Linked DNA regions of Stegostoma tigrinum. The protein of the gene in region 2 interacts with the protein of the main gene of each other region in a biochemical or structural test. Links are inferred from orthologs where the notes say so. Each region holds a gene or a part of one and is shown on either strand. Other genes may lie near its edges. The genes, in order: platelet-derived growth factor subunit A-like and pdgfra.

Region 1 (10,516 bases), on a different chromosome or scaffold from region 2:
CCATATATCCACCACTCTCTGGGTGAAGAAGTTTTTCCTCAACTCTGTTCTAAATGGCCTACCCCTTATTTTTAAAATGTGTCCTCTGGTCCTGGACTCACCCAACAGCGGAAACATGCTTCCTGCCTCCACAGTGTCCAATCCCTTAATAATCTTATACGTCTCAATCAGATCCCCTCTCATCCTTCTAAACTCAAGAGTATATAAGCCCAGTCGCTCCAATCTTTCAACGTATGATAGTCCCGCCATTCCGGGAATTGACCTTGGGAACCTATGCTGCACTCCCTCAATAGCAAGAATGTCCTTCCTCAAATTGGGAGACCAAAATTGCACACAATACTCCAGGTGCGGTCTCACCAGGGCCCTGTACAGCTGCAGAAGGACCTCTTTGCTCCTATACTCAATTCCTCTTGTGATGAAGGCCAGCATGCTACTAGCTTTCTTCACTACCTGCTGTACCTGCATGCTTGCTTTCATTGGCTGATGTACAAGAACACCTAGATCTCATTGTGCTTCCCCTTTACCTAACTTGACTCCATTGAGATAGTAATCTGCCTTCCTGTTCTTGCCACCAAAGTGTATAACCACACATTTATCCACATTAAACTGCATCTGCCTTGCATCCGTCCACTCAACTAGCCTGCCCAAGTCACCCTGTATTCTAATAACATCCTCCTCACATTTCACACTGCCACCCAACTTTGTGTCATCAGCAAATTTGCTAATATTACTTCTAATGCCTTCGTCTATATCATTAATATATATCGTAAACAGCTGCGGTCCCAGCACCGAACCTTGTGGTACCCCACTGGTCACCGCCTGCCATTCCGAAAGGGACCTGTTTATCACTACTTTTTGCTTCCTGTCAGCCAGCCAATTTTCAATTCAACTCAGTATTTTGCCCCCAATACCATGTGCCCTAATTTTGTTCACCAATCTCCTATGCCGGACTTTATCAAAGGCTTTCTGAAAGTCCAGGTACACTACATCCACTGGCTCTCCCTTAACCATCTTCAGATACATCCTCAAAAAAATCCAGAAGATTACTCAAGCACTATTTCCCCTTCAAAAATCCATGCTGACTCTGGCCTATTCTGTTACTGCTATCCAAAGAGAATGCTATGCAAGAGAAATAAAGGCTTCCATTTATACCATAGGGCATTCCAAGTTACACACAACTGAGCTTTATTGGAGTGTAGTCACTGTTTGAACGTAGGAAACATGGCAGATAATTTATGCAGAGCAAACTCCTACAAACAGTATTGCGATGATGGCGTGTAATGTCGATTTAAGAATAAACGTAGGCAAGACACCAGTCAGAACTCAATTGCTCTTCGAAAGTGTGGGATCTTAACGGTTCCATCCGAAAGGACGCACAGGCCCGCAATATCAGATCTCATTGGAAAAGCAGCACTTGGTTCAATACCTTTTGTGCTCCGCCGTCAGAACCAGACCCAGACCAACGAACTCAGAAGTGAGTGATCCAGTGAACCCACAGCCGACATAAATAGCTGCCATATCATCCTCTCGACAACATTCCATGTTGAAATCAATCTACATATGCATTCAAAATTTAGAAGCAAGATTTATTTGAACTTTCAATGCATTCACCATCAGCAGGTTGACACCGCGCTGAAGACTGGTTTGGGTTAAATACCAAATAAATGTCTACTAGCTGTTACTGCAGATGGCATAATTGCACCGACTCAGTCTAAAGCTACTTAGTTTCGGCATGCACCCAAGAGCGACACAAAAGCCCCGTGCGGTGATACAATCAAGAGCAGAAAACAGGATTCTCGACTTCCTACTGTTTGCAAACTTATATTTGGTCGCATTCATCTTGTTTTTAACACTACTTGTGTATTTACAGCAACTGGCATAAAACTAAAATGTTAATAACTTGATTAACTTTATTAAGCTCCGGTCCCACTTGACAGGGATTAAGATATGACTACGAAAACGGATTAAGTGTGTACTTTGCACTATTCCCACTCCCCTTCGATCAAAGTCTGGCCTATTGGCGCCATACCACGGAACTATCAAAAAGCAAGTCGATTCTAATTTGCTCAATCTGTCGTTTTTTGCAATAAGTAGCTCGCACGCCTTGTTTCATCTGGTAAATGATCTCGCCGCTTCAAAATGAGTCCCTCATATCAAAGCAGAAAGCCGTGTGTGCCGCAAATTTCACGCCCAAACCGAACGCTGACACAGGCAGGCATGATTCAGGACCGAACGCGCTTTATGCTTAACGGAGTGGAAGGGGATGTGAACAACAGTGTTTGCAAACAGGAGGGTGGCACCACTAGCTTACAGCTGCTAATGAGATTCACTTCGGCCGCTTGCAGCTTCCGCACATGTCAGCGGGCCGCACGTGACACAGCCCGCAGGCGACTCCCCACAACGTCACAGCGTGGGAGCGGCTCTGATTAGGTAACCACGGCGGCACGTGTCACCAGGTGGGCATGCGCAGCTGGGCGAGCGGTGCACGCGCCTTTTCCAACGGCCGTTTAACCCCGCCCAAACCGGGTGGGGGGGGGCGCAGGAAAAGGGGTGGGATAAGGGATAATGGTCGGGGGCTGGGGTTAGATGGGATAAGGGGTGAGGAGAGTAGAAGGGGGAAGAGGAGGGAGAAGGAGAGGGGCGTGGGGAGAAGGTGGGGGAGGGGTGAAGGCGGAGGGAGTTGGGGAAGGCGGAGGGAGTTGGGGGATGGGGAGGAAATGGTGGAGGGATTTGGGGGATGGGAACGGGGTGGGACGAAGGCTGAGGGAGTTGGGGGAAGGCAGAGGGAGTTGGGAGAGGGGTGAAGCCGAAGGGAGTTGGAGGATGGCAGAGGGGTTTGGGGGATGAGGAGGGGTTTGGGGGATGAGGAGGGGGTTGGATAGGGAGGGATTTGGGGAATGGTGGAGGGATTTGGGGGATGGGGAGGGATTTGGGGGATGGGGAGGGGGTTGGGGGATGGGGAGGGGGTTGGGGGATGGGGAGGGGGTTGGGGGAAGGCGGAGGGGGTTGGGGGATGGCGGAGGGGGTTGGGGGATGGCGGAGGGGGTTGGGGGATGGCGGAGGGGGTTGGGGGAAGGCGGAGCGGGTTGGGGGAAGGCGGAGCGGGTTGGGGGAAGGCGGAGGGGGTTGGGGGAAGGCGGAGGGGGTTGGGGGAAGGCGGAGGGGGTTGGGGGAAGGCGGAGGGGGTTGGCAGAGGGTTTTGGGGTATGGCGGGGTTGGGGAAGGCGGAGGGAGTTGGGGGATGGGCAGGGAATGGTGGAGGGATTTGGGAGATGGGGAGGGGGTTGGGGGAAGGCAGAGGGAGTTGGGGTATGGCGGGGTTGGGGGAAGGCGGAGGGGGTTGGGAGAGGGGGAAAGGCGGAGGGAGTTGTGGGATGAGGAGGGGAATGGCAGAGGGATTTGGGGGATGAGGAGGGAGTTGGGGAATGCGGAGGGAGTTGGGGGATGGGGAGGGGGAAGGCGGAGGGAGTTGGGAGATGGGGAGGAGATTGGGTTTAGGTGGAGGGAGTTGGGGCAGGGGTTGGGGGAAGGTGAAGGGAGTTGGGGGATGAGGGAGAGGGGAATGGAGGGTAAGGGGGAAGGAGGTAAGGAAGAGGATGGGATGGCGGATGGGGAGGGTGGCGAGATGGGAACAGGTAGATAGAAGGAGGGGAAAAGAGGGATATGGAGAGGGGGAGGGGTAATTAGGGATGAGAATGGGGGAGGGGGAAGTAGTTGGATGGGGAAGGGGGTGAAAGAATGGGGAGGAAGCGGGAAAGGAATGTGAGGGGACATGGGGAAGGTGTGAAGGCATGAAGTAGTATACGACGGGTGGGGTTAGTGCAGTGGAAGGATCATGGCCTTGGATAGAAAAGGAAATATGAGGAAGAGGTTATGTGTTGAGGGAACTTGCTTGAGGAGAACAGAAAAATCCAATCATAACTCTCTGATGAAGGGTCTGGGCCCGAAACGTCAGCTTTTGTGCACCTGAGATGCTGCTTGGCCTGCTGTGTTCATCCAGCCTCACATTTTATTATCTATGATTAACTTGAAGCTTGCTGTCACCCAACTGTGGGTCAAAAACAGGTAGGTATGGGTCAGAATTCTTTTGTGTTTTCCATTATTTAAAATTATGAGGAAGTGTCTTGAAATTTGACTTGAAATGTTACCTCTGATTTCTCTCCACAGATGCTGAAATTTTCCAGCAATGTCAGTTTTTATTAAGAAATGTTTCTGTGTGAGGCACAGGAATGTCATGTGGGTAGAATAATACTCTGCTCAAGGAAAATGGCTTGCAGTAATGTTTCTACCTGCCCTTCCACATTATGATAGGGTGAAGTGAAAAACTGTGGGAAGTAACATTTATGGAAGATAAACACAGGCATAACCCTAACCACCCCAGCTATTCCACTCCCACCACTCTCTCCTATTGCCCCCCCACTCTCCTATTCCTGTCCCCACCCATCCCCTCCCCATTTCTCCAACCCTATTCTCCCCCCTCCAATATCCCTCCACCTATGCCCCCCGGTTCCGCTGTCTGCTCCCCCCTCAGCCCACTTCTTTCATTCCCCTTGTTCCCTCACCCCTCCACTATTCACCCCAACCCCCTCTCCTTGTACCCGCCTCGCATCCTCTCATTCTCCTCCACACCAGCTTCCCCCTCCCTCCCACTCCAGTGCCCACCCTCCCCTCCTTCTCCCCCTCCTCTACCATCTCCCCCTCCCTTCCTTCCAACCTCGCTCCTCTCCCCCTCCCTTTCCTCTCCTCTTCCCCTCTCCCTCTCTTCACCACCCTCCCTTCTCTCCCTCCGTTCTCTCCTCTCTCCTTTCTCATTTCCCTCTCCTCATCCCCCTCCCTTCTCACCGCCCTCCCATCTCTCTCCCCTCCCTTCACCTCCTCCCCTCTTTCCCCTCCCTTCTCCCCTTCATCCCTCATCCTTCTCCCCCTCACCACCCCTCTCCCTTGTGTCCCCCCCTTCACCTCCATCCCTTTTGTCCTCCCTCCCTTCACCCCATCCCTTCTGTCCCGCTCCCTTCTCCCCCATCACCCCATTCCTTCTGTTACCCCTCCCTTTTTCCTCCCTCACTTCTCTCCCTTCACCCCCATGCCTTCTTCCCTCTCCCTCTCCTCCCCCATCACTCTGCCCCCTCCCTCTTCGCGTCCCCGACCTTCTCGTTCATCCCCCCCTCCCGCCCTCCATTCTCTTCCTTTGGGGCAGCAGGGTGGCTCAGTGATTACCACTGCTGCCTCACAGCACCAGGGACCTGGGTTCAATTCTACCCGTGGGTGACTGTGTGGAGCTTGCACATTCTCCCTGTGTCTGCGTGGGTTTCCTCCGGGTGCTCCGGTTTCCTCCCACAGTCTGAAGATGTGCACGTTAGGTGGATTGGCTCTGGGAAATTGCCCATAGTGTTCAGGGGTGTGTTAGGTGGGTTACAGGGGTGTGTCTGGGTGGGATGCTCTCAGATTCGGTGTGGACTTGTTGGGCCAAGGGCCCGTTTCCACACTGTATGGATTCCCTTCTCACACTCATCTCTCTGCTCTCCCCCTCTCCATCTCCCTCTAACCCCACTTTCTCTACCTTCTCTTCCCCCCCCCCCCAACACCCCTCCCCGCCACTAAATCCCTCTCTCACCGTTCCCCACTGTCCTACCCCTCCTTACCACTCCCCCCTTGCACATCTCCCTCCCGGAGACTAGGAACCTGTGTTCTGTCATGGCCATGTACAGGACAGACGGAGTTGGGCTTCCAGGATAGCAGGGACCGGCCAGGGTGATTCCGCGCATTGCGGTGAGCTCACCGTGTGCCCAAGGGCAGGAGCCACGGGCCATAAGGAACTGTGCCTGGGCGGAGACCGTGTGCGAGAGCCGCCTCTCGCTGTCCTAGTAACTCGCCAGTCGGCGGCGTGATGTCAAACTGTCTCAGTCTACAGCTCTTTTCGAGGTTGGAGTTGGGGGCATGAGGAGCTCTACAATCAGCCTCTGTTCCTTTGTCAGAGTGGGATCATCAAGCTCTCGGCAAGGCGCTTCTACACCGGCTCTAACATTTTTCATCCGATATGGCAGCGATTTCTAAACCGAAAGGAAACCCTTTCTCCTTGCCCACCGTGTGAACTTCGGCCGCTACCGGACAAACTGCAAGAATTAACAACTCGAGCTCAAATTAATTGAAAGAATTAAATTGGGGAAAAACTCCAAAAACAGTTTGCCAGATTTTGAATTCTGTCTTATTGTGTGTCTTTAAATGGGATCGTCCAACTGGTGAATTTTCAAAATAACAGGAATAAGTCCATATTTATGATAAATTCTCTCAGAGACTCAGTGTCCCATCCCCTTTTTTCTCCTGTGCAGCCAGACAGGTGATGGGCGTATCAGTCCGGTGCAGTGTTGACTCATGGGTTTTTCAGTTTGGTCTGATCTGAACAAATATGCAGATCTACCGGCTGGTCTACTGCTGATGCCAGAGAGAGAGGAAGAGAGAGAGAGGACGGCAAGGAAACGTACAAATCCAATGTGAAACAAGAAAAAAAATCCTCACTCTAGTTACTTTTCCGAGGGATGGTACTGATTTTTTCTGCGATAGGGGCGCCGCTGAAGCTCCTAAATGATCGATTCTCGCTGCAGGACAAACTTAAAGTGAAACGAAATGCGAGCCACGGTTTATTTCATTCTGGGCTTTTGCTACCTGACCTGTGCGCGTACAGAGGTAAGCTATTACTTTAAAGCACAATAACTCAACCTCCTAATGGCTGCCCGCTGTCCATGCTCTCTTTATTTATCTTGAGTGATAGCGGATGGTTCTTCTGCAGTTTTCTTTGAGCTTTTGTGTGTGTTTTTTTTAACGAGCTGTGCTTTTGTTAACCAGTCCCTGGCCGCAAAGCTGGCTCTGTGCAATCGCAGTTCGTCTGCTAGACAAGTCTTGCGTCGGTTTTTCCGCCAAATGTGCTTGCAAATAGTCCGCTCCGTTAAAATCGGGCAAACGGTTCTGTTGCTTTTTGTTTTATTCCCTCAGGGAATGGATATTTGTGCACTGCACTAAGTTGGTGCATGACAGCATTTTTTGCTGCAGGTCTTGGCTTGTGCTCCGAAACGCCTCAGTGTTCACTAAGTGAGCTGGAGCAAATAAAGGGGAAAACGATCGGGAGCGGCCAGAATGGTGACTTTTATTATCTTCTTTCTCCCCGAAAGACATCAGATCTGGAAGGGAGGGAAAGCAGCACAACAAATTATTGTTATCGCTTGAAGGCTAGGTTTGGGGTCAAAGTACCGGCGTGGCGGAGGTCTCTCTGTTACGGCTTGTGTTTGTCTCCGATCAAAGTATCAGACTGTGCAAGAGTTACAAGGAAACAAAACACCAGGTGCTCCACTCCGAGCCCACTAACCTTCTGGTGCGCTTGATTTAGCACTGCTACATTTTGTTCGGCCACCGACTGCGAATCAGTGAGAACGAGTGCAATGGTGGTTTGCAAAACGATCTTGCTCCCTTGTCGGTCACTTCAGAGCTGTTTACTGTGTGAAGCTGGGGCTGAGCATTCGATCTGAAGGCATCATGCTCACAACCTCAAGTGCGCGCTGGTTTTACTCGGCCTGTCTCAACCCCGTTTTACACTGCATGCCTTCCAAGAGTGGGTCAGCCCGGCGTACGTTCAAATGATTTATAAAGTTTCTAAAGAACTTAGAAAGTTTATTTTTAGTTAAAACATTTTTACCGGGGAGTAAGATGCGTCATTTGTTTTGTCCATTATTTTATTTTTGCACTTATTTTCGCTTATTTGGCTCATTTTCTTCCAAGGAAGCTGAATTTCCCCCAGAATTGCTTGAGAAGCTGGCACACAGTGATATTACCAGCATCCGCGATCTTCAGCGCCTCCTGGAGATTGAATCCGTAGGTAAATTATGTTTATATGTATATATTACCTTCTTTGTCTCACACATGGGACCACGTTATTGCCCTGCAACAGTAAACCGTACATTTCACGCTTCCTGTCATGTTTATTAATTGTTTCTTGTGTAATGAAATGAAGTCTGTGGATTTCAGAATCTTGTCTTAAAACATCAATGCAGACAGGCTGCAAGGCAGCTAGCGATCTCTGTAACATTACAACCAGGGCGTCGCTCTCAATGACCGGGGTATTCCACTTTGTTAAAACCCCTCCTCCCAACCCAACCCCACACAACACAAAAAATAAATTGTGAAAGGCTTGGAACTGCATTTTTGAAGTCAGCCTGTGATGGCACGGCGCGTCCGCCGTCCCACACTAAGCAAGAGTACTTGATGTTTGAGGCGTTTATAGTAGAAACACCGGATGGATATTTTATTTGTACAGACGGTTTGTTGAATGTCGTGTGAATTACAAGCGTCAAAACTGAAAGACAGCAAGCACTTGAGAGTGCCTCAGTAATGGTAATCAGCACATTGATCCGTTTGACCAGAGAAAGGATTGATCTCCTTGATGCAGAGTTTGAGCGTTAAACATGCCCTCGAAGTAGACAGCACCCCCTAACAACTATCCCGAGGGATCTATTTGTGGAGAACATTCAGAAATATGTTAGGTGATAGTCATAACACAGAAGTACTTGCAGACAGCTCAACTTCAAATACGTTTCACGGTTGAATGCTTCATTCGAAATACTGTATAATGGAAGACATAAAATACTGCAATTAAAAGCCTATATATTTTTCAAACCGTGTTCCAGTAATGACGATAAACCTGCAAGTATACAATTTTAGTGGAAAATGGTGGGGTGGGTTATTCAAGTTCACTAAAGATAACAAAGTGTGGAGCTGGATGAACACAGCAGGCCAAGCAGCATCTCAGGAGCACAAAAGCTGATGTTTCGGGCCTAGACCCTTCATCAGAGAGGGTGCAATGAGTTTGCACTCTCTGATGAAGGGTCTAGGTCCGAAACGTCAGCTTTTGTGCTCCTGAGATGCTGCTTGGCCTGCTGTGTTCATCCAGCTCCACACTTTGTTATCTTGGATTCTCCAGCATCTGCAGTTCCCATTATCACTATTCAAGTTCACTGTTTTCTTGACGCAGAAACTACTTGATCATTGAGCATTTAACACATTCGCTCCATCCATGTACAGTACTTTTTATTTTAAATACCAGGCCACTGGAAGCTTAACAACCACTGATTCTTTTCCCAGCTTTTGATCAATTAACAACAATTGGACACTGAGGACAACTTTTTAAAAATATTTAGCAAGGAAGAAAAACCTTATGTAGCACCTTTCACACCCATGGGGATATTCCAAAGGACTGCACAGTCACCAAAGAATCTTTTGAACTTCTGTTGCAATATGGCATCCAATTTGTGTACAGCAAAATCCCACAATAGTAATTACCAGATAATTTGTTTTAATGATGTGGTTTGAGTGAAATTGCATCAGGCATCCTGCTCTCTTTCAAATAGTTCCATAAAATATATCTGAGAGGGCAAGCTGATCCTTGGTGTAAAATCTCCGTCTGAAAGACCGATGAGATCTTGCCACAATGTTGAGATGGTAAATTCAAAACCTATGTCACTAGGGTTAAGAGAACAAAATGTGAGGCTGGATGAACACAGCAGGCCAAGCAGCATCTCAGGAGCACAAAAGCTGACGTTTCGGGCCTAGACCCTTCATCAGAGAGGGGGATGGGGAGAGGGAACTGGAATAAATAGGGAGAGAGGGGGGGAGGCGGACCGAAGATGGAGAGTAAAGAAGATAGGTGGAGAGAGTATAGGTGGGGAGGTAGGGAGGGGATAGGTCAGTCCAGGGAAGACGGACAGCTCAAGGAGGTGGGATGAGGTTAGTAGGTAGCTGGGGGTGCGGCTTGGGGTGGGAGGAAGGGATGGGTGAGAGGAAGAACCGGTTAGGGAGGCAGAGACAGGTTGAACTGGTTTTGGGATGCAGTGGGTGGGGGGGAAGAGCTGGGCTGGTTGTGTGGTGCAGTGGGGGGAGGGGACGAACTGGGCTGGTTTAGGGATGCAGTAGGGGAAGGGGAGATTTTGAAACTGGTGAAGTCCACATTGATACCATATGGCTGCAGGGTTCCCAGGCGGAATATGAGTTGCTGGTTCTTCCTCTCACCCATCCCTTCCTCCCACCCCAAGCCGCACCCCCAGCTACCTACTAACCTCATCCCACCTCCTTGACCTGTCCGTCTTCCCTGGACTGACCTATCCCCTCCCTACCTCCCCACCTATACTCTCTCCACCTATCTTTTCCTCTATCCATCTTCGGTCTGCCTCCCCCTCTCTCCCTATTTATTCCAGTTCCCTCTCCCCATCCCCCTCTCTGATGAAGGGGCTAGGCCCGAAACGTCAGCTTTTGTGCTCCTGAGATGGTGCTTGGCCTGCTGTGTTCATCCAGCCTCACATTTTGTTGTCTTGGAATTCTCCAGCATCTGCAGTTCCCATTATCTCTCACTAGGGTTAAGAATTCCTGCCATTCTCTGTGCTGACATTGGAAATTAATTCATTAAGGTTTGTATCCAACAACAGATTTCTCAAAATTATGAACATTACAAGTCATTCAATGTTTTTAAAAAGTG
Region 2 (10,012 bases):
AAGTTTTCATCCTTACCCTCTAATCAGATGATAACGGGAAACGATTGCACAAGAGAGTAAAGCAAAAACACGAGTATTTCTTGGGAGATAGCAAGAAATGCAGATGATGGAGAATCTGAAATATCAAAGGTGTAGAGCTGGATGAACACAGCAGGCCGAGCAGCATCAGAGGAGCAGGAAAGCTGACGTTTTGGGCCAAGACCCTTCTTCAGTCTAGGCCCGAAACGTCAGCTTTTGTGCTCCTCTGATGCTGCTTGGCCTGTTGTGTTCATCCAGCTCTGCAGCTTGTTATCTCAGTATTTCTTGGGAAATCGATTTCACAGGAAAAGTGCTTTCAAAATCCATGTTATTTCCTCGAGACTGTTCACGCTGACAACCCAGACAATTAGGAGTTACTTTTAATTATCATTTCTGAGAATGGTACCTGGGACAAACCTAACTGCCACATCGGCCGAATAAATTTGTCAGGATTTAGTGCAACAACATCCCCAGGATTTTAGCCCTGAAATGAAAGTTTGAATAAATGGGAGCACTTCCCCGCTTTAAAACACAGACTCTCAAAAGAAAGTACATATGGCTATTTTAGTTTAAAGAAGTACTCTGTTCCTTAAATGAAGGTTAACTAACGTAATAAGTATATAATAAGCAGGGTTGTTTACAAACGTCAACCGCTTTTAGGGACCCTGGCGCTATGGGATTACCATGAAATGACTGCATTCCTGCTTCAAGCCAAAGCGTGGCTCTCTAATACAACTGAGATCGTCAACGGAGAATTCTTACTCAAAGCCCAGTGAAACACACCAGATGTTTAGACCTGTAAATAAGGTTTAAACTGTTTGTGTGTCCAATTTCCAAAGTGGAACACACGGGTCTACACTGGGTATGTGCACACAACAGCAAATTGGTTATTGCAGCACTTTAGTGAGGCATCCCACTGGCAACATCATTTTATTAATGTCTTAACGTTGCAGTCGATGTCGGTTTCGTTCTATTTCTCCGGTTTAGCCTGTTAGAACTCGCCAGAACATTGAGACCACCGAATCCGGAAATTCTGAGGGTCTTTTTTCAGAATGAGAAGCCCCTGGGTGTAGCGCTCCTCCACTGTAGACAGGAGTAACACTCTCATTGTGGTATCACAATGACTGGAACCAATCCTTGTCAATTCAGTTCTCCCCCGGGAATGTCACTTCCTGAAATCCAGTTATTACCATTTATTGGCAGTCAGCGGGGAACAAGAGGGGCGTAAATGATTTATTTTCGTTCAATCCCATTTGCACTTCTCCTCTGGTCTGTAGGGGGTGCTAGATGCACACGTGGGATTGTATTTACATGCATGTAAAGTTTGATTGGGTTTTCTTGTGCGGATAAGGGCGCTGCTGAGAGAACTAGACTTGGGTGAACTATACATTGGCGTACCTTGTAACTTTATTAAGGAAAACACACACACACACACACACACACACACACAAGTGTTCTCGAAATACTTGCAGTAGGGAAAAAAACGTACAGCACCCACATCCCAGTTTTGTCACGTGCAGGAGGGTATCCTTTGTCATTGTCAATCTGATGACATTTTAAACCTCTATTAATGTTTGTGAGAGGAACAGCAAGTTACAGATATAGCATTTACATTCTGCATTCAATATTCGTAATCCCAAGCGATGTTTGAAGGTAGAAAAAAGAACCTGGTGAAGACTCGAGTTGACTCCACGTTACAAAGGGGCGAAACAGCCAGAGACCTGGGGGACAGGCTGCAGGCCACTCAGTTATACCCACCCGCCGCTCTCATCCTGCCTGTCCGGGATTACTCAGCAGCAGAGTGGCTTGACCTGAGTAACCGGCTTTGATTCAGGTTGTTTTTGTTGTGGAGGATGTGCATTTGGGACGTGCTAAACCCTAGGGTAATTTATCAGATTCCTCCAAGCGTCCTTTAAGTGCAACAAGACGGGGAGCAGACTCCAGTGTGAGGAGGTCAGCTCCAAACTACCCCCTGGATTCGCCACCAAACCCCTGGGATGTCCCAGGGGAGTGAATAGGCAAAGCGCATCCTCTCTCCGCTCGGTCAAAATCCTGCAGGGGTCCTGTGAGCTGGCAGTGCAAATAGAGTCGCCTCCCAAAGGCGAACATTTCGAAATCTTTGGGACACCACCCGCTGGCTTGATTCTGCGTCGAAAATCTCACCTCAACAGGGCTCCAAGATAACAAAGTGTGGAGCTCCGCTCCGTTCATGAAAGACTGAACTGTGAGCAGAGGATGGGACTGGGAATAATGACAACAGAGAGGCCAGGACAACTGAAAGCGAACATGTTTTAGTCACAGTCTTGGTTAACTTGGTTAAATAAAAGGATTAGAGAGAAAGAGAGAAACAGAAAGGATTTCCCGACAACAGGAGCTGTTTTATCAGAAGATAGCCTTACAGAAGTCCCATTGTTACCGACTTTACTTTTCTCAATAAGAGCTGGGGCTTCTTAAAGTGCCAGCTACCCACCGCGCGGAGCGCTGCGCTCTCTCTCTCTCTCTCTCTCTGTATCTGCGCTGCTCTTAACCATTTCAGTGCCACCCAGCAGGGTCTCGGTTTCAACAGCCCTCCCACTGGCTTTTGGCACTTCTGATGAAGAGCTGCGACTACTTCGGGCCAAATGTTTACCCGTCCATCGGTCCGTCTGCCGCTTCTCAATCTCCGGATCGAGTCCCCGGCAAAAAGAGGGGAGCAGGGGAGATCGGCGCGGGGAAGTGCTGTGTGGGGTGTTGGGGGGGGGGGGATGCCGGGCAAAGGGTCTGCTCCGGGTGTTTCCTGAGCAAGAGAAGGCAACGGGCACACGGAGCAGGGCAGACAGCAAATCAGACGCACCTCTCAGAGAAAACAAAAAATCCAGTACCAGAGTAGAGAAACTATTTTTGGGTACAGCGGTAAAACAGAGAGAGTGGGGGGGGGGGGAGTTGGGCAGTGGGCGAGTGGATAACTATAGAGGCTAAAGGACCTGGGGGTGGGGGCAAAGTGACAAAATAGTGCGAACGATGGAACAGCAAGTGGGAAAAGTCGGCTTAGAGAGAATCGGAGTAAAGTTGTAAGTTTTACTGTTCATTCTCTTCCAGAACTGAAGGGGGTTTGAATGAAGGAAATGATTAAAATGAATGATCAAGTTTCCTGAGAGTGAGTCTAACTACAGCCAAATGATGAAGAAAGAAACAAGTTATAAGAAAAGGAGCGAAGAGAGAGATATTACTGAAATACTACATTGATTCCTACCTCGTTTATCCTGCTGCTACTTTCCCCTCTCGCAAGTTTCGCAGAAACCTCCCGATACTGCTTTCCCTCACGGACTAGCCAACAAGCATTGGCTCACTTCTCCCTCCTTCCTGTTTACGTGATTCATCCGCACGCCAGAACTCCTGTACAATCCCCAAATCTCTCCCTCCGCCACCCTCGATCCCAGGACAGCGGAGTATTCCCAGGAAGAGAGAAGGAGAGACAGAAAGCCTCCACTTCGTCCGAAATTCCTCAAATCCCTGACGCAGGCTCACGGTGGCTCCCACATCCAGCGCCAATGTGTTTGTCATTATTATAGGTATTATGCAATGGAGCCATCAGTCTGCAGCGCGGCTGGCCAAGTTAAATGCAGCGGGACGGTTATCATGACCCAAGACCGTGCACAGAGCCGCTCTGTTTCCTCACTCGATAACGGTACCGCTCTAACATGCCACACACTCTCAGATAAGCGCTCACTTCCAAACTCAAAACATGCACTCCACTCAATGAAACGCACCACTTTCATACTCCATCGCTGGCCAAAGCGAACAGCCTTCTGAGAACAATCGACGATATGAACAAGACTCTTACATAATAAAGTACAAGCAGTTCTCCTAGTCCTTAAGATGCTTGTGCCCCTTTGGACCGACGGCGAACCAGCAGAGGGATGTGTGCAGGCACAGCTGTGGGTGCAATCTATATTGTCGTCTGGAACGCCAGACCTATTTACTAACAGATTTTACACAAGGAGATAAAACAGGGCCCCCACTCTCGCCCCGCACGCCTTTATAAAAATGATTTGTTTGCCCCCTACCTTGTGCAAAGTGGTAAGTCCACCAACTTCTGTTCCGAACAGGGGCAGCATGTACGTTTCACTCTGGAGCTGGGCTCAGATTGTTTAATGGCTCAAAGAACGGCGACTTGTAATTGATTCAATGTTGCAGTCCATCCTTCCAAAAAAACTAATCATCTGCTTTAAGTAAATAACTGTCAGGAAATGAAGCCCCTGAAGTCGCTTCAGAATAAGAGTCCGCAGATCACACGCTGCTCTTGGAGCCCTATTGGCTTCAGGCGGTCGAAGCTAGCCTTCCCAAACTCTTATCCACGCAGGGCAGTCACATTCAGGCTGTCTTGCGCAGAAAATTGCCATATGTGCATTTTGAAGCAAGTTTTATATGGACGAAAATGTTTCCCTCTCTCTCTCTCTCCCCAAGTTGCACCCCTCCGCCCGTGCTGACAATACGCTCACGGAAGGATAGCTAGTCTTTATGAATGAATTCCCAGCCCTTGTTAAACGCGGCTGATCTGTGCTCAGTACCAATGTAGTGGGACAGTTACGTTTGTAATGTTAGTGTCACTCAAATAGAAATGGCTTGAGAGATTTGAGGATTGTTTGCCAGAGTTTTGTTTAGAGAGGTGTGGGGGTAGGGTTTGGGGGAAAGAGAACTGCATAGTATTTTTAATGTCCTCCTGAACGTTGTCAACCGCAATAAATCTGCAAAGTGTTTTATTTTGGGATTATAGGAAACAGAAGACATTCCTAAACACTGGGTAAAATGATTTAAGTATGTTGTAAACAGATCGTTTCGCGTAATGACCTGATTCAATATTGACCAGTGAAGGCAGGAGGCGCCCTTGTTCTGTTCCTTGGGAGTTATTGCCCAGGAGTGAGGTGAGATCGCCTGCTCTCTTTGCATTTAAAAACCCGAACTGGCTGCATGAAAAGGTCGGTTTGACATGTTGTCTAACAAGCTCAGACCGTCTCCATCTTCTAATCAATTGGGATAAAGCAAGGGTGTAAATATCGAAAGAAATGTGGCGGGGAGCAATTGTGCAAACTATGTGCCAACACTGGGTGCCCGCTGGAAGGAGCGGGCTTGTTCGTTCTCCTGTTTTTTTTTTGTGTAGCTCGCTGCTGTTTCTCATCTTGCCCCCAGCCGTTAGCTGCAGTAATATATCTTCAGCGCTGGGAGTGAACAGGCCAAATATTACTTCCACATGTGTTTCAGGAAATCATTGGAGGCAACAGCGAGGCCAATCTGGGGAACCTCTTGTTTCTGGATGCTCGGAGATACCGTATTATTCCGAAAGAAACAGTCTCTTACCCATCTGAGAGAACGTTCGAATGTGTTTGATGTAAATAAGAGCGTGTTTATAAACTATTAGTGACGGCACACGCGCCGATCGATAGACTAACTTTTCAAAAAGGGAAAAAAAAGCCGAGAGTTTTGCAGTCCCTGTCCATTTCAAACCCTGTTGTTATTTCCCGAATACTTCGCTGAGTTTCTCGCTCTTTGGACTTGTCATGTTTTCACCCTCGGTGGTACATTTAGCTGTTTTTCCAACTAAGAAATTATTTCAGTTTATTGTTTAAACACCGACTGCGTTATCTTGTAAGAAATCAAATAACTCTAAGAAGCCACGCTGGGGGGTTAGAGTGTAGCTATATCCTATTTACAAGTCTGAGCCTGAGATTGTAATGGTTTGAGTGTACATCAGTCGGCAGACCGAACAATAGTTTGAGTCAATTGGTTGCAATTTGAAAAACATTGCTGCCTCTTGCAAACATCCAGTTAATTGACTTTGTCGGGAATGATGAATACGTGGATGGAAGGTCAAGCACAGAGTAAACTTGATGCAAGGTGAAGGTGAGCTCTCTGTTGCTGAATTACTACAGTGTAGATTTCCAATACAAGGTCACTCCCTCGGCGCACTGACCTGCAGCGTTTGGAGGGGTGTGTGGGGAGAAGAACAGGTCGGTGGAATACCACCTCCAGTCAGCAGCCGAGCTCCCTGTGAGCCCTAGCTAGGTACACACCGCCCTGACCCGCCAGTCAACAATCGAGGCTCCACTTTCAGCTTCTCACCAACAGGCCATCTTGAAGGGATTCCGAACTAGAGGAACACCATTAACCCCACCCGCCTGCTCCCAAGGATGATGTCCACGGCCTATTGGGCTGGTTGAAGGTAAAGGTCGGCAAGATTGCAGGCTTGGCCAGGGCAATCGTTTGGCCCAAAGAGCTGAGATTGCTCAGCCTCCAGTGTAATAGAAAATCCCTCGTCTGGGCGCTTGTGCACCTGGCCCATAGGATGCAGGGGTACAGCAGAACCACCTCTATACCTGCTGGAATAAACCCAGCAAGTGCAGAGGAAGACTTGCGATTTTGAACGGGAGATTATCAGCGTATGCGCATATTTATTCGCCTGGATTGGGAGGGTTTCTTCTGAAATAAAACGGAAAGATACACGGCCCACTCGATCAATCCTGATGTGGACAGATGTGTCATTGTTAGATCATAACCTCGTTACTGTGGGAAGACGTGCGTCCACACAACGCAAATTGGTCTGACGTAAACATGCTCTTTACCCAGGTTACTCTTAACATTACGCTACAGCATGTTTTAATTCAGCAGTCTGGTTGGGGGCGATTTCCATTCCACGACATAACATGCGCTCTGCTTCAGTACCCCGGCACTCCGGCGAAGATAAGCACAGAACTGTGAGACTTGCATGTGTTGGTAACACTGCATCTTCAGGGGGAGCTCAGTGCCTGCCCGTCAGCAATGAGCAGCGCTGCTGTTATCGATCTAACTCCCGTTCCCAGACTCAGAATAACATCTGCAGTAATTTGCTCCTTCATTCCCAAACCTCCGCTTTGCTCTCCTTAACGAATACTTTAAACAAATAAAGATTCCACGGTGTAATAAGTTATTTGCAAGTTTGGGAGTTTGGTGAAAGGATTTTGTGTTTAAAAGGCAATTATCACTCTTTTTGGAGCTAACCTAATTGAATTCAATGACAGACTAACTCCTTGACTTTATTAGGGGGCTGCGTGGGTGCAAATGACACGGAGACCAAGAAAGCCATTTGACCAGAGGGGGCCCGCGATACTGTTGAAAGCAATCCGTAACTTGTCCTTCCTCATGATTTCTTTTCTTTTTGGGGGTAGATTAGTCAGAGCAGCTGGGTTCCGTTGCTCCTACTGGGGTGAATCAAACTGCCGGGAAAGACAATTAATAAACTACCCAGCCAGCACAGAGGCGCTGTGTGGTCCGAACGGGTATAAGGGAGGGGGGGTAAGAAAATGTCTCCCAAAGTGACAGGTCTGTTTGTTTATTTGTCTCTTATCAGGCCATACTCTAATAGGAAGCGTTTAAATGCACACCATATGTGTCCGTGGATGGCTCCCTGACTGTCCCAACTCCCTTCACCATGTGTCACAAGGGACCTCTCGCATTGATAACAGGCCGCTATCAAGGTCCAATCTGTGGGATATTCTATGAACTGTTAGCTCGTATTTGTTCAGTGTGCTCTGTGAAATTCTGTCCCCACCACCCCCGCTGTGAGTGTTGTCCACGGGATAAATAATTTTTTGCTCGATATGGAGCTGCCGGAGTTGTGCGGGGGTTTCAAGTCTTTTTTTTTTCGGTGTAATCTGGCCGTTGTGAACGCTTTGGGACTGAGTTGTCAGCGAAGGCGAACGCAGTTGCTTTCCCTTTGATGTAGCTGACTGGTTCGTAAACCGAGACTTCATCTGGTTTTCGATCCCAGCTTTAAAACTACAGTTTTACAAACTGATGCTGGCCATTTACAACCAGGAGCGCAATTAGTTCTAGTGTGTGAGCTTTGTTTTATGACCACATTCGATCCGGTTCAGTCTTAATGATCGTTTGGTTTGGCACCTTCTAGAGTATCCTCACTTGAATGTTGTTTGACTCGTATCTTGCGTTCTGAGACTCGCTCCTGAACTTAAAAGCTCCATTCGTTTCCAGTGGCAGTGTACTGATTTCTCTCTCTCTCTCTCTCTCTCTCGCTGGCACATGCCCCGACTGTAACAATGTCGTTCATGAACGTTTCACAACAGATGAACAATGTAATCAAACACAGGTTCTTTCGGAACTGGCAAAGACATTTTGCTGGACCAACTGCACTCTACAAGACTTTTCATTGCACCTCTCAATCCTGCTTTCTTCAGAAACACGGACCACCAGCCAGAACTCGGTTTGTACCGTTTGTTTTCATCAAGACTATTCTCAATACCTTGCCCTCACACTAAAGCAGTTTTAAAAAGCGGGACCTTTTCGTGTCATATCGGATTAGAACACTTGCTGGAGTGGAAATGAGAAAAGGTCAACTCCCAGTCTATCCGTCTAACCCACTCTACTGTCACCCAGGATACTGCGTAGTTCTTCACCATAAACTATTTTATCATTCATAAATACTATTCTCTCTTCAGCCATTTGCGTTTCCATTTAACTTTCCGATTCATATTTAATGAGCGTACTCGTAAAGTTCTTTACTTTTTATCTAGAATAGCAAGTCATCGACAGTTCCTACTATCTCTGAAGTTCTGGGACGTGTTATAAAATTCGCGGGGAGCTGTTAATCAATTCTCAGCCCAGCGTTAAGCCAAACGGAGCGCTACTTGGTGTATAAATGTGAAAGGGCTTTCTCTCGGTCTGCCAACTGCGGTAGAACTCAGTACGGTGGCTCTCTATGTGACTAGCTCACACCTCGAGCCCAGCTCAATGAAACGACAAATTTAGTTGCCTATCTCGCCTGCAACCTCAGGTTTTAAAAAAACCGAGTCCTGTTCGCCTCCTCTTCTCCTTTGTCACTCCAGCCTGACTGAATGATTTCAGGTGCTTCTTGTCCGCAGCAGAAGACCACAAATGATGCAAAATGTGGCATTTCCTGAATGACTGTTCACATGGAAAAGCAGCTGGTTAAATGCAATTGACAGGTAATTGGTCATGAAAAGGAACAGATGGCACAGGGATGGCAGTGATAGATGGACGTAGGCAGTGACAACCAGAGACAGACCAACAAGAAAGATGAACAAAACCAAAGTTGCTGGAAAAGCTCAGTAGGTCTGGCAGCACCAGTGAAGGAAAAAACAGAGTTAAAGTTTCGGGTCCAGTGACCCTTCCTGAGAAAGATGAACAACGCTAGGTCTAATAGGTATCTAGGAGGAATAAGTCAGCATAGAGGTGCTAAATGTCATCATGACTGTCAAAGACTCACAGAACTTTTGTTTTATTTATTCACGGGACGTGGCTGCCCCTGGTTAACCAAAACCAATTACCGCTGTTGCTCAATCCAAGCAGTGCAGGGTTTAATATAAAAACTGGTAGATAAGTTTTGTTTCGTTGCAGTGGGCTGCCTGATAATTACAACAACGCTTTCAGCTTAAAAGGTTTTTCTTTAATGCATCGCTCGTTGTATTTTGATACTTGTTTATAGAAAAAAGTGCAACGCAGAGCTATAATACACGGTTTGTAAACGCGGGGCCTGTTTAATAGAGCAGCAAATCGAGAGTTTGAACGAACAATGACAAGATAATGACATTGCTGAGCTTGGCACATTTCTGGGTGACTAACGAGAGGACATGTTTGCCTCTGAGAACCATGGCATTCTGACCTGGCAGCAGCGCATTGTTTGTCATCCATTATTCCCGGGTGGAAGCACTCCAGCCTCGGACTCAGTCTTGTGCTCAACTCCCGCGCAATCATCATCACAAAATCCGAGAAGACTTTAGGTTAATTGCATAACTTTGGCAATGACCCATTGTCCGTTCACACAGTGATTTTTATGCGGATTGATGTAATTAGTCTGGTTATACAATGGTTATACAATGGGGGAATCCATTTAGAAATTGTGTTTACCCTAGTACTTTGCAAAATCCAATCCAACAAAAGAAAGAGACGAGACAGCAGACAACTGATAAGGAGCCAAGTGGACACTCGCTTCGTGGACTCTTTT

Evidence for each region.
Region 1: the proteins of pdgfra (region 2) and platelet-derived growth factor subunit A-like form a complex in vitro, tested with the Homo sapiens proteins (2 studies listed by BioGRID). The link is inferred for Stegostoma tigrinum from reciprocal best matches to the Homo sapiens genes PDGFRA and PDGFA.

Annotation. Positions count from the first base shown.
Region 1 is NC_081376.1:37,109,380-37,119,895, reverse strand, and holds the start of platelet-derived growth factor subunit A-like, read left to right. Parts: upstream 1-5,705; 5' UTR 5,706-6,624; coding exon 6,625-6,684; intron 6,685-7,770; coding exon 7,771-7,867; intron 7,868-10,516.
Region 2 is NC_081354.1:107,875,632-107,885,643, reverse strand, and holds the start of pdgfra (platelet-derived growth factor receptor alpha), read right to left. Parts: upstream 4,537-10,012; 5' UTR 4,065-4,536; intron 3,531-4,064; exon of another isoform or gene 3,251-3,530; intron 1-3,250. UniProt on the Homo sapiens protein: Tyrosine-protein kinase that acts as a cell-surface receptor for PDGFA, PDGFB and PDGFC and plays an essential role in the regulation of embryonic development, cell proliferation, survival and chemotaxis.